Linked DNA regions of Drosophila melanogaster. The gene in region 2 interacts genetically with the main gene of each other region. Each region holds a gene or a part of one and is shown on either strand. Other genes may lie near its edges.

Evidence for each region.
Region 1: of Tm2 (region 2) and DAAM, changing one enhances a phenotype caused by changing the other (phenotypic enhancement), as found in Drosophila melanogaster (one study listed by BioGRID).

Annotation. Positions count from the first base shown.
Region 1 is NC_004354.4:1,305,187-1,310,477, reverse strand, and holds the start of DAAM (dishevelled associated activator of morphogenesis), read left to right. Parts: upstream 1-2,005; 5' UTR 2,006-2,354; coding exon 2,355-2,402; intron 2,403-5,291.
Region 2 is NT_033777.3:15,308,312-15,315,820, reverse strand, and holds Tm2 (tropomyosin 2), read right to left. Parts: upstream 5,577-7,509; 5' UTR 5,522-5,576; intron 5,145-5,521; exon of another isoform or gene 4,748-5,144; intron 3,787-4,747; exon of another isoform or gene 3,627-3,786; intron 3,446-3,626; exon of another isoform or gene 3,422-3,445; 5' UTR 3,369-3,421; coding exon 2,775-3,368; intron 2,713-2,774; coding exon 2,535-2,712; intron 2,231-2,534; coding exon 2,148-2,230; 3' UTR 1,801-2,147; intron 1,294-1,800; coding exon of another isoform or gene 1,211-1,293; 3' UTR 624-1,210; downstream 1-623. UniProt on the Drosophila melanogaster protein: Tropomyosin, in association with the troponin complex, plays a central role in the calcium dependent regulation of muscle contraction. May also regulate motor systems required to maintain nuclear integrity and apico-basal polarity during embryogenesis.

The DNA.
Region 1 (5,291 bases), on a different chromosome or scaffold from region 2:
TGAAGACGACGCGGCCGTGGGCAAAATTTCACTTTCAACCAATGTTTTTAAACACCTTCTCTGTACTTTAGGATTTCGTCAGCTCAAGCTCAAAAATGATATGGATATGATTTTACAAGATTTCGGGCGGAGGCAGACTTGATGAAGTAGGAGCATCTGCGATTAGCTGGAAATGGAAAAGGGGCTGGGCAGAGGTTGTGCCTGGAGATAGGGGCGAACCAAATCAGATTAGCCAGGGAAATGAAGTGGGTTCTTTGAGTGATTACGAACTGCCTCATGCTCACGTTTTCTTGGCCCATCGACAAAAAGCTGCTAATGGGAAATTATGTCTGGCTGCATCACATAATGGCCAAGTAATTGCGATCGAAGCGTGGTGGCTTTCGGATGAGTTGGCACAACACCCATAAAAAGCCCTTCGAGTAGCAAATGGGAGATGGGAAATGGGAGAGTCGATTCGATTTGGCTCGGGCTGTGAGGATTGCATTAATCAATAGGGAGACTACCACTCCGACTACCTATGACTATGACGGATTCCTACTAATTTGCTTCTCGCCGTTCTCCTCTTTTCCACTTGCAGCCAAAGACTAATCCCAACAACGAAGCCAATTAGCAACAACAGGTGAGTAAGAAGTCATTGAAGACGGTTCGCTGCCGAGGAGGCAGTTGGTAAATGTTCGATAGGTCTAGAAAATCGGAAAATGAGTGCGCTTTACAGCCCATAAATATAAGTATGATACATCATTGAATAGTCGCTCTTCTATTTTCAACGATCAAAATTTAGACGTGGTAGAAGATGGTTACACCATCAAATTGGTTTTAAAATAATAATAGCATTTGCCTCTTCAACTGTTAAGGGTATCAAAAAGCTAAAAAAAAAAGGCGCGAATATCCAGCCAAAACAGCTAAAGAACGGATGGCCACCTCATGCCGTCGACTCCAAATTGAATGACCGTCAGCATTCGGTATTTGGCCAATGATCGTCGGTATAAGACAACAACATTGGCTCTAATAAGGACCGTTACATAAAAAAAAGAGATGATGAGAATCGTTGCTGAAAATCGGGAAGTGGAGATAGAGGGGCAGAGGCGGTGTTTTTACACGGCGGTATTGCCATGATATTTTATTTTTTGCATGACACTTGCAAAATCGAAACAAAAGAGAGGGAATAACAAACTTTACTTGTGACGACCTTAAATTGTTTTTGACTTTGACTTCGACTCTGGCGGCTTTGAGCCCACAATTGCCAAAGTTACCGGTGAACATGGCTATGTGCATGTTGCCGAACAACTTATCGAGCGGACTAACAATTGTCTGTTGTGTGCGGCTGATTTGCCAGAGCTAATTAAGTTGTTCGATAGACAGTTCGGCTGTCCAATTGTTTCTTGGCTTGGTTTCATGCTTCCAACTCCTTTACATTGGTCGGCTAGTTGTCTCCTTTCGAAGTTAAACTATCACTGGTTGGATTGCATTTGGGAATGAATCGCAGGTGGTATTCCAGTATCGTGGACCTTAGGCTCCGCTTGGTCTTCTAAATGCTCGTAGCAGTAAGCTCTTCGTTTCACACCCATAATTACCTCGATATCTCTTCAAGTGTCTCAGCCCTTGTGATTTCATAAATACCCCAGGAATGCACCCCGCACGCACATGGAAATGCAGCACCTTCCACCACCCACTATCCACCAAGGCGGCCCCAATCCGCGAGCCAAGGCGAGCGGTGTGCGGGCGGGAGTGCGACTGAGACTGGGACACAGTGGGGTCTGCGGCATTAGGCACAGAATAGGCTCAGAGCCCGCTTTCTGCCGTCGACCGGTTTCGCGTTCGCGTTGGAGCCCGCTCCGGCTCTCGGGCTCTCTGCTGGCACCTGTCGCTGCCACTCTGTCTTGGCCAACTTCTTCGGCTTGCCGCGGCGACGTGCTCGTGCTCGTCGTGTTGCTTTTGGCCAAGTCGCCGCTGCCGTGGGCACGTCTTGAGCGGCGAGCGTTCAATGCGCTGCCAGCCGTCGATAAGAACGCACGCGAGCGGGTCAAGTCATCCGGCAGACAGAGACCGGCTATGGAAAGCAAAACCTAAGGCTATAGGCTATATAGAAGTCGAACTGATTAAATCGGAAATTGGAAATACGCGCGCGCGTGTGCTTTTCGCAAAGCGAACGAACACTGTTTGAATACACTTTGTATGTCAATTTAAAATTTTTTTTTTCTTCGGATTAATTTTTTTTTGCATCAAGTGAATTGGCAATGAGCAGTGCGTGATGTGCGAATTGGTGCTGCATCCCAGTCCGCGGCAGAAGAGACTTGCAACGCTATAGTTATAGTTTTTGAATTCGAATTCCAGTGCTACAGAGCAGTATCATTATGTCGAGCATGAATCAAATGAGTGTCCTCATGGATAAGATCAACACGGTGAGTGCCAAGGGATTCTCTGGGCTTTTGGGGGCGTTAGTGGGTCTCTGGGTCGATCCACTTAAACCTGCCAAAGAGTGGACCTTTACACGAATTCGGTTCGGTTGTTTCGTTAAATTGAATCGCTTTTTGTGCAACCCAGTAAAATGGTGTGAAAACTATTTGCTACACTGTCGCCTCGAATACTTTGTACATTTAATACATCTATTGTTATATTCATAAACTATTTTGTTTGGTTAGGAAGTCTGTCTAGCTTCTGTGCTTTTACTTCGCAACCCCTTTTGCAATTTCGAAGAAAAGTTATTGGCTGAAGGGTAAGTCCCTCTTAACTGCTTTGGTTTCGTCACGCAGTTCCCTGCTGCACCTCTAAGGTTTTCCACCTGCTGTCTGTGAGCCTCGTATCGAGGGGGGGGGGCGAAGTAGATGAGGGGCAGGGAAAAGGGGGAATAGGCAGCGAGAGTCCGCTCTCACTTGACCAACAATTTAACGTCATTTGCATTCAAAAGTGTCGCCTAGACGCTCATAAATAAAATGAAATTGAAATTTTTGCGCCTCACTTTTCCCAGTCCCCCTTCTCCGATCGCCGATCCCCGATCCCCGATGCTCGGATGCCCGATGTCCGATGCCCGGGTACTCGACGTATTTTGATTGTGTGGAAATGAAAGTGAAATGCGCTCCAGCGAAATTAAGTGCCCATTGGCCGCCATCCCGCAATCCACCAATTCCCCCGCTCACTTCGCCCCTGATTTAAGTGCGGCTGAATGAGCTTCAATTGAATGAGCTGACGAAATGCCGCGCGCCGCATAACAAACATAAAACAAAAATCAAACGAAAAACAAACAAGTGGCCGACGTCCAATTCGGCAAATTATATGGCGGGATGGGATCGGTATTGGAGGTACCGAAAGTACTCGAGGTGCACTGCAGCCAGGCGTCTGCTGTTTGTGCAACAATAATTAATTAGTAATAATTTTCGGTTGCCTTCTTGTGTGCGAGTGTAGAAATGCCGATGGGGGGTAAGAGTTGGGCAATCTGAACGGTCGAGCCTCTGCTGGATCCTCTCAAGACCCATCCCATGCTATCCCATTCTCGCACTCTCGACCAGCACTTATTGGTTGCGATGAATGAAGCAGCTCCTGGCTTGGATTCGGCATGAAATTAGAAGACTGCAACTGCAATAGCTTTATAGCAACCCAGCTGACTGAAGTCCATCGAAATGTATGTATGGCTTTGGAAAGGAAAAAGAACAAATACTGCACAGCATAGCAATGGCATTTATCGCATATTTTACACCAACTCAACTGACACAACACCTCTATGCTGGTTGGGAAATGTCATAATACCACTTGTCTGTCCTACGCTCTACTTGTGTGGGTTTTCAATGACTTGTAGCTCCACTTCGGGCTGCGCTGAGTTTACTTCCTGGCGACACACTGACGCCTAGAGGGAGTTGGGCAACGGGAAGGGGCAGGGAATGGGGGCTATCATAATTCGCGATTGGAGGGATTATCCCCAACGAATGACCAATAATTAACGGCAAGTTCCGTTGTGACGTCAACTACCGCAATCTGCGCTAGAATTCCATTGAGCTTTCTCCACGAAATGCGCAGGTTGCATAATCTGCATCTGCATCAGCATCTGCATCTCGGCCAACTGTTTGCTTCTGCATCTGCAACTGCAACTGCCGCCAAACCCGCTCGCGAACTGGTTCGTCTGGCCTGTGGCCGCCTTATTTATGACGCAAGCCGCTGGCGGATTCTAGGCTCTAGGCTAGCTAGGCCAGACTGACATTGGCCTAGCCCACGGAGTAGTTCGAGGCGATACGGGGGCATTCAGCAGACGGACTCGATTCTCACGAGCACTGGAGCTGGAATGTGGGCCAAGTCATTGGATGGATAGTTAAATTATCTCAACCGGTGGCTTCACACTTGCTCACCTCCAATTACCTGCTATTTATATGTGGCACTTTCAGCTTGAGGCTGCAAGGCCTGCTAGTATTTCTTGGGCTATGCCAAAGTCTGCTACAAAAAAAAAAATATATCTATTGCATTATAGTGTATTTATAGTGTATGAAATAATAATATGGCATAGTCCGTAATCCGAACCCTAGACAAATCCAGACAGACCGCCAAGGTCTCCGGCCACCCGTCTCCTCGATTGTGGTGACCGCATCACAGAAAGTTGATTCCCGATAACGGATTGATATCACTACCTAGACACGGGAAGCTCTGACCCATATAGCCATATAACCCTATAGCAATTGGGCATAGGCCTGGCCGCACACGAACACTTTATACATTTTCGGAGCCCATATACGGAAGCCGTGCAATGCTAATGAATCGCTGCGAAAGCAACCGAAACCAGGCACCACCAGCACATGACCAAAACTAGACTGGGAAAAGTGTGTAATAATTTCCTGTCTCAGCCTGATTTGCATGTGAAGTCCCCACTCCAGCTCGATTTAATCCACTTGGACTTGGATTCGGATTCGGAGACCGCTGCTCTCCAATCCAATCCAATCCAATCCAATGCAATTCACTCTACTCCACTCCAGCTGGCCGTCTTGTTTGACTTACTTCATCATTCCTAATGGCAATAGATACCAAAGTATCTGCATGTAATGCGATCCATTTGCGGGCCACCTACGCTCCGAAACTTTCCAGAGTTTGTCAGAGATTTGAATTGAAATTTATGCGGACATGAATTAGCCGCCGCTGACCCGACTAATCAACTGGAAAAGCATAATTCCTTTGTTTTCGCCTTTTTTTTTCCGAGTGAAAGTGCCCATCTGACAGCTGATAACGCATTTGTTCGTGGATCGGATGTGGATGGGATGTCCGGCACATAAGCCAAGCAATTAGCAATTAAAGGTAACCATATCGGGACATAT
Region 2 (7,509 bases):
TTTTCATAAGATGAACATATCTGCCAGCTTCCATATACCATAATGTAAATTATGTAAATAATGACTGGCGCTTTAAGTGGGTAATTTAACACACCACTTAACGATTTAATAACTATTTTATGGCCAACGTCGCGAGAAGAGCGAGGAGAAATGGAAATTCAATTCGAGTTCAGTTTACAAGAAAGTCCATTTGGCCAAGAGAGCAACAGACCCACATGTCGAACGCGGCCTTAACTCACTTATTGATGGTCAAAACGGCGAGCTGCCCACATCTACAATTCATATCTGGAAATCACCCTGAGGATGTGTATATATGCCATATATATACAGATAACTGAACTTTCATTATTCATTGCTTTGACAATTAGCGCGGATGCTAAAGATGTTGCAATGAAGGCCTCGATTTGCGGATCGTGATCCATCTCCGATGAAGTGGTGACGCACTTCGGACTTGGTTATTTCGGCCCAGCATCCATGGGGTTTCCCAAGAGTATGAGAAATCGGTGGAAAAAACTGAAGACTACTTTGCATATCCGCCAAAAATGTAGTGAACTTCAGCGCGATTCGCTGAAGGGCAAAGAAATTCGGTTTTGTGCATCATTGAAAGCAAACATCAAACATATAATTTTTTTTTAGCAAAGTTTTTATAAATTTTTTTATACTTTTTTTGTGGGTGTTTTTTTGTTTGTTTGTGGTGTAATTGTAAGATATAAACTGAAAGTAAAGCAGGCAGCGCGATCTTAAAATTTTAAATTTAGCCCCGTCTCTTTCCTGGGCACTCTCTCTAGCTCTCTCGCTCTTATTGCCTGACTGCAAGCGCTTCTTAATATTTTTAAACATTGATTTTAAAAATACAAAATTCGTGTTCTTGTTTTCGTTTTGTTTACTTTATACATTCTGCTACTTTTGACTTTAGATAATTTTATTTTTTATAAAACAAAAGAATTTCCATTTGCTTTCTATGCTCGTTGGCTTTGTTGCTGTTGTTGATCTGTTTGTTGTTGTTATTTATTTATTATGAAATATATAGATTTATAAAGAATTGCATACACAATGGTTGTTGTTCTTGGTATCTGCGGCCGCCGATCTTCGTGTTGGCCAAATCAATTTGAGATATTCGTTTACAATTAGTAGAGTTCTCCATCTCGTCGTCGTCTCCATCTTCCTCCGCTGCTGGTGTGGATTTGGTATAATGGGACTGTTGGCCAACTTAGTAGCCAGCCAATTCGGCGAATGTGGAGTCCATCTCGTCGGCCAGGGACTTGTACCTGTCCTTGTTGATGCCCAACTCGTCTGCGGAGTGCAAATGGTGGTTGGAAATGCGTTAGAAAATATTCAAAAATATGGTTTTTTAACATTGGAATTGAAACGAAAAACACTCAAACTTTACACCATGTGTACCAAGTTTATGGAGTTATTGATTAGGATTAGTGGCGCGCTGTTCTGGCAGGCGTTTCTATCTTTTGATCTTTTGGGTTAGTCAGCGGTTCTGTGCGTGGGTTTTCAGGGGAGGTGGGGGACAGGACTATCTATGGGGTGCTCTACGGGATGTGGACATGATCTATCCAACCAATCGTTGCAGCAATCCTTGAGAGAATCCCTCGACCAAGGCCTGGGCGAAATTGGCTCGAACGAAAGCCACTGATGATCGACGAGACGATAGAGAGAGAGAGAGAGAGAGAGACATAGAGACATAGACTGAGATAGAGTGCGAAGGCGAGACGGGTCAAGAGGTCATGCCACATCACAACGGGTAAGAATCTGGCATACAAACAACAATATTTACATTGATAAATTCACCTGTATTAACTACAGTTGCAACTTGGTTTGGCTTGATCTGAACTTATTTTTACAGTGTACTGGCGTAGGGAACTGGTCGTGTGGGTGTGGCCACATTCAAGCGGGACTAAACAGATTATTTACAGTGTATAGATAAGTGTGGCGTGTTGGGCTGGGTGGTAAATACACTGAAACTGTTGGGGGAATCGTTCCAAAAATATAATATAGAATATATATATATATATATAATAAACTGTGTGGGATTCGGGATGTACTGAGAGTGTTCCTTTTTTTGGGGGAGTTGGGCAAGGGGCGGTTGGGGGGGGGGGGAGGCAAGGGCATTGTGTGAGTTCTGTTTGTGATCTTTTTTAATATCCAGTAAGTTCGGCAAATGTCTGGTCCAAATCGTCGCAGATTGCTTTGTATTTTTCCTTCTCATTGAAGAGACGGTCTGCAAAAAGCATTTGTTTGTTGTTCATTTATACAAATATATATATAGAGAGATATTCAAAAAAAAGGGCGAGCGAGCGAGATGTGTGAATGTGGAACGTCAATTAATGAAAGCAGAGTACTAAGTACAATTATTAATATCCTTATGGCGATAAATACAATGCGAGCATTAGTTGAAGCCAGCGATCCGGCCGTTCGAGGCGGATCACTTCCGGTGGACAGCATCTCCGGTGTCCCGTGGAGAGATACCTCCGCGGAAAATGGCTGAGTGAATGTGCCAGGGGCGTAGGAAGTTGGATACATACCCTCTAGCCTGTCGACCTCCTTCTGCAGGCGCTTCACTTGCTTCTCGGCGTGCTCGGCGCGCTGCTCGGCCTCCTTCAACTTGATGGACAGGGTCTTCATCTCGCGCTTGAACTCCTCCACGCGCTGGTTGGCCTTCTCCTCGGACACCTCCAGGGACTTCAGGGAGTTGCCGACAACCTAGTTGGGAATACACCATGAATAGTGGTTTGAGAACAGAAGGATTTCTCTTGAGGACCCACCTTCAGCTCCTCCTCCAGCTCCATGATCTTGGACTCGCCGGAGCGGACACGATCCTCAGCCACCTCCAGCTCGTCTTCAACGAAGGCCAGCTTGCGGGAGACCTCGTCGGACTTGGTATCGGCATCCTCAGCCAGCATGCGGGCCTCCTTCAACTGGTTGGTCAGCTGGTCCATGCGCTCCTCATCCTGCTGGGAACGGTTCTCCAGCACCTTGCACATGCGGTTGTTCTCATCGGCCGACTGGGTGGCCTCCAGCAGCTTCTGTTGGGCGGTGGTCGAGCGCTCCTCGGACTTCTCCAGATCCTCCTCAATCTGTTGCACCTTGCGGTTCTGGGTGGCCACCTCGGACTCGGTGGCGGTCAGGAGTTTCTCCTTCTCCTCCAGCTCGGTGTTGGCCTTCTCCAGCTGCTCCTTGGCGGTAACCAGATCGATCTCCACCTGGACGAACTTCTTCTCCAGATCGCGCACCTCCTCGTTCAGTTTGTCGGCGCGGGAGTTGGCATCCTTGGCTTGGTTCTCGCAGGTGTCGGCCTTGTCAATGGCGTTATCCTTCTCAAGCTTCATCGCTTGCATCTTCTTCTTGATGGCGTCCATGGTGTTTGTGTTTTTGTTTTTGACTTACAAGGGAAGAAAACTGGAAAAAAGCACTGTGCCAAATAATACAAATGAGTAAGCTGAATAACTGAATCCTTAATGTGCAATTTTTAAGGAGCAATTTTCATAAGGCATAGAATATTATATATACTATAATATAATAATAATAATATTATATAATTAATAAAATGTATGACTTTTTTATTTAAATCTAATTGTAGCTTTGAACCGCTTAATAATATATTATAACATATATACGTTGGTCCTAAGATATTCCAATGTTTATTTCCTTTCATAAATTACAGATTTTTTGAACTTGGATTTTTCTTTTGACTATACATTTTTGTTTCTTTACTGTGACTTCTAGAATTTTTATGTTTCCGCTGCAAGACAAAATCGGTTTATTTAAACGATCCAGGCGCATTCTATAGGTTATCCATAGGTATAATTAAATTGTATATATCTATATGCTGTGCATATGTGTTCGTGCAATAAATTTGAGAATTAAATGTAAACACATTTTGTTTGGCGGCTACGCCGAGCATTCTCAAAAGATCTCACGTAATTTTCATTTTCCATTTTCAAAACGCCCACTCAAAATCCGAATCCGGATCCGTCGGTGAGCTATATGTTTATATGTTTATTTGCTGCACGATTCGGTGGGGTTAAAAATAAACTTTATATGCTTTTGCATGTGAGAAAAAAATATCCAGTCCACTCGCACACACACGCATAGGAGAAATGCTTTTTTGGACATTGTGTGCTAAATGTAATTCTAGAGTTTCCCCCTATTATTTCGAAATACCCCACATATATATGTACATAGCTCGCCACCGATTGCAATTTGAAAAGTATTCAATTCTTTGGGGTCATTTGGTGTGTGGGCGTATTCGTATTCGAATTCGTGTATCTATGTTGCTACCACCCAAAGTGGGGCAAAGTCATTTATGTTGTAGTTGCTGATCTTTTGGAGGTCTTGCGATACTCATGTGTGTTTTGTACCCAAAAAAACATAAGCAATGTTTAATATGTGATTTATGAGGTAAAAAGGATTTCTTTCTAAAGACTTTAAATAACTTATAATATGTTAAATAGCTACTTAGTTTTCACATCATTAAAATTTTTGGTGATTGCCAAAGGTACTTGGGCTTTCAATCAGTTCGAATATGTATCTTAAAGATGGCAAATTTTGCGGCCTTCGGACGCATTCACGAATGGCTAGAAATATTCGCTCTGAAATCTACAATTCTGTGTGGGTGGCTATGCCTTGAATATATATATTCCCAGATAGATACCATATGTATCCGCATCTGGGAATCGTCTACGTCTCTAATATTTTCCAAAATATCTCTCTCGAAAACAATCTCAAGGATAAATACCTATAGTTCTCGACTGCCTTCGTTTTCTGAGATCACAGAAAGCTAGACGGAAAAGCTTTTTCGTATAAATTTCAGGCAGAGTTAAAAATAAATGCGTATGTCTGTGTGTGTGTGACAGGCAGGTGTCTGTCTGCAGTTAATTTTAAAGAATTTTCTTCGAGGAAAACTTTATCGGTCGAGTGTGATTGTGTGTGTGAAAATTGTGCGTGCCATAAGTGTGTAAGGTGCATATGTATATGTGTCCCATTCGTGTAGAGCTTTCCGAATGAAGCTCATGTGTGTGTGTGCAAAAAAAAATTCTCTCACACACACACAGATATTTATTGGATGGTATTGGTGCCGTCAGATTTAGTTACAAAATTCCTTATAAGCGAATTTTGAAAATATCCGAAAAATGATCATAAGATCTCCATTTTCAAGTAGTTTAGATCGTTCATTTTAAGTTTTTTAGAGATATTCATTTTTTTAGTTATAGCAATTTTCACTTCCATTACATTTGGATCACTCATTTAACTTTTTGTAGAACTTTATATCCAGGCTAATTGACACATATACATATGCACATTTTATTTAAGTTTAACAAGGTTTTCCTTTTTTTTCCCGTTTGGGGAAAATTCAAAATTTATAATTTTGAATGCCATGCACTTATCACAATTTTGTTATCCACTCGAAATCCAGTTGAAAATACCAATTTGGTTAGCAGCAAAGGCGAGCGATTTAATTATATTTATTTTGAGTTAATTCTTGTCGGGTGAAAATCCTGGCGTGACCAACCTTAGCGTTTCAAACACACTATACGCTGTCGAAACCCCGAGAACACTGATGCTGACCAAGTTGCTTAGCCCAGAAAGCGACCCCAAGATCCAACGCACACGCACACTGCCACTCGGAAAATCGGAAAAACTCACACACACTGAGGGCACACACCAACGCGGTATTGAATAATTTCTCGCCTCAAAAATTTCCCATTAATAAATGTATATGTGGAATGGCGCTTTCGCAACTTTGCTCGGCGATCTCGAAAATTTCCCTCGAAATTTCCCCCAAAAGCTGCTTCATACGATGCTCTCTCTTTTGGGCTGCATTCTCGTGAAATTTATGCGCTTTTCTTTCTGCTTCTTAAATCTAAATTCAATTTATATTTTACTCACAGCACTCTCGCTGTCTGTGTGTGTGCGTGTATCCGTCAGATACACGGCCAAAAATAGCCACAAGCAGCAAGAGCAAAAGTCCAACAAGATGAAAATCTATTTTCGCTCGGTAAAAAAATATTGAGAAATATTTGGAATTTTGATCGGCCAGCGTTTTCCTGCCGTTCTTTTGCTTTCGAAAGTCTCGAATGCAAGGCAATTGATCCGATTTTCTTGTGTGTTAATTGTCCCCGTTCGATTTTTTGCTAAAACAAAACCACTTAACTTACTATATAACTGAAGAATAAAATCTATAATTTATTTATTTTAATAACCAATTAAGTAACGATATGGAAAAATTGTTATCAAAACTCTAAACTAAGAAATTCTATAGATATATGTATATTTTTATATAGGTATATTTAAAAGATAAATATATATGGTGGGTTTTATTTATATGTCCGACCTCGCTAAATCCATTTAGCAATTCATCTCAAAATCCAGTTCAATTTTCTTCTTCTTTCAATATTTCTGTGACGTAACATCTTCTTTAATACTATTATATATCAAGAAGATTCCACCAAATGTCTCATAGTCTCTGGATTACACTTATATGTACTCCCGATCTTTTTATTCTCGTTCAGCAATAAATTTTACTTAAAAGCCAAACCTACATAAGTCAATAATATTGTGCACTTTATTTATAGACTTTTATAACTTCAAATTTTAGTTGATTTATAGCTCTTCTTGATTTAGGAAAATGTTTGAAACTTCATATTTTCAAAACTGTTCAAAAACAACTAATTGGCGAGCAAACGTATTCAGTTTTCAAATTCGATTTTTCAAAACCCTTCTTCTTTAAGCTTATTTTAAACTTTTTTTATATATGTAGCTCCAAAGAATATTTAATGTTGAGTTAAAATATCACACATGTGACAAATATGGTTATTCCAACACAAATAAAAACATCCTATAAGTTTTGGGATATAAGCATGATTTGATTTTGATTTCAATATTAACTTTTAATAAGGATACACAATATTCCGGCAGATTGAAACCAACAGGACACTTTATGTCCTTTATATTCGATTCATGATCAGTGCATATTTTTATTATTTAACTAATGCAACCCACCGTTTAAATAAAAAATCCATGAAATTTTTTATATGCAAAAGAATGATTTCAGTTTATTGATCGTAAAAATATTGAGTTGAAAAAGAAAAATACATACATTGTTATATTTGTTTTGCACGCTTCATAGAATTACAAAAGCTATGACAAATGTGTAAATTTAATTTATATGTCTTCGTTTATATATTCTAATAATATATCTCCTATTCTTGTTGTTTAAACATATACAAAGGCCATAGAAATTTTGTAGATACACTTCGCGAACTGCCATAAAAACACACAAGCAACAGAAAGTTGAGAAAAATTGACTCTGGCTTAAGCGTAACTGAGTTTTTTATTTGAAGATGCTGATTAACGATATTGAGTGGTGGGCTTTCTGGGGTTTTGTATTCAAAATATTACACATACTTTTTCGAGCTGGAATTTTAGTTTCAAGGAAAATGGCAGCGTTTCTTTTCGTTACACAACTCGTTTTAACTTTAGGCTCCATATAAATTTCAA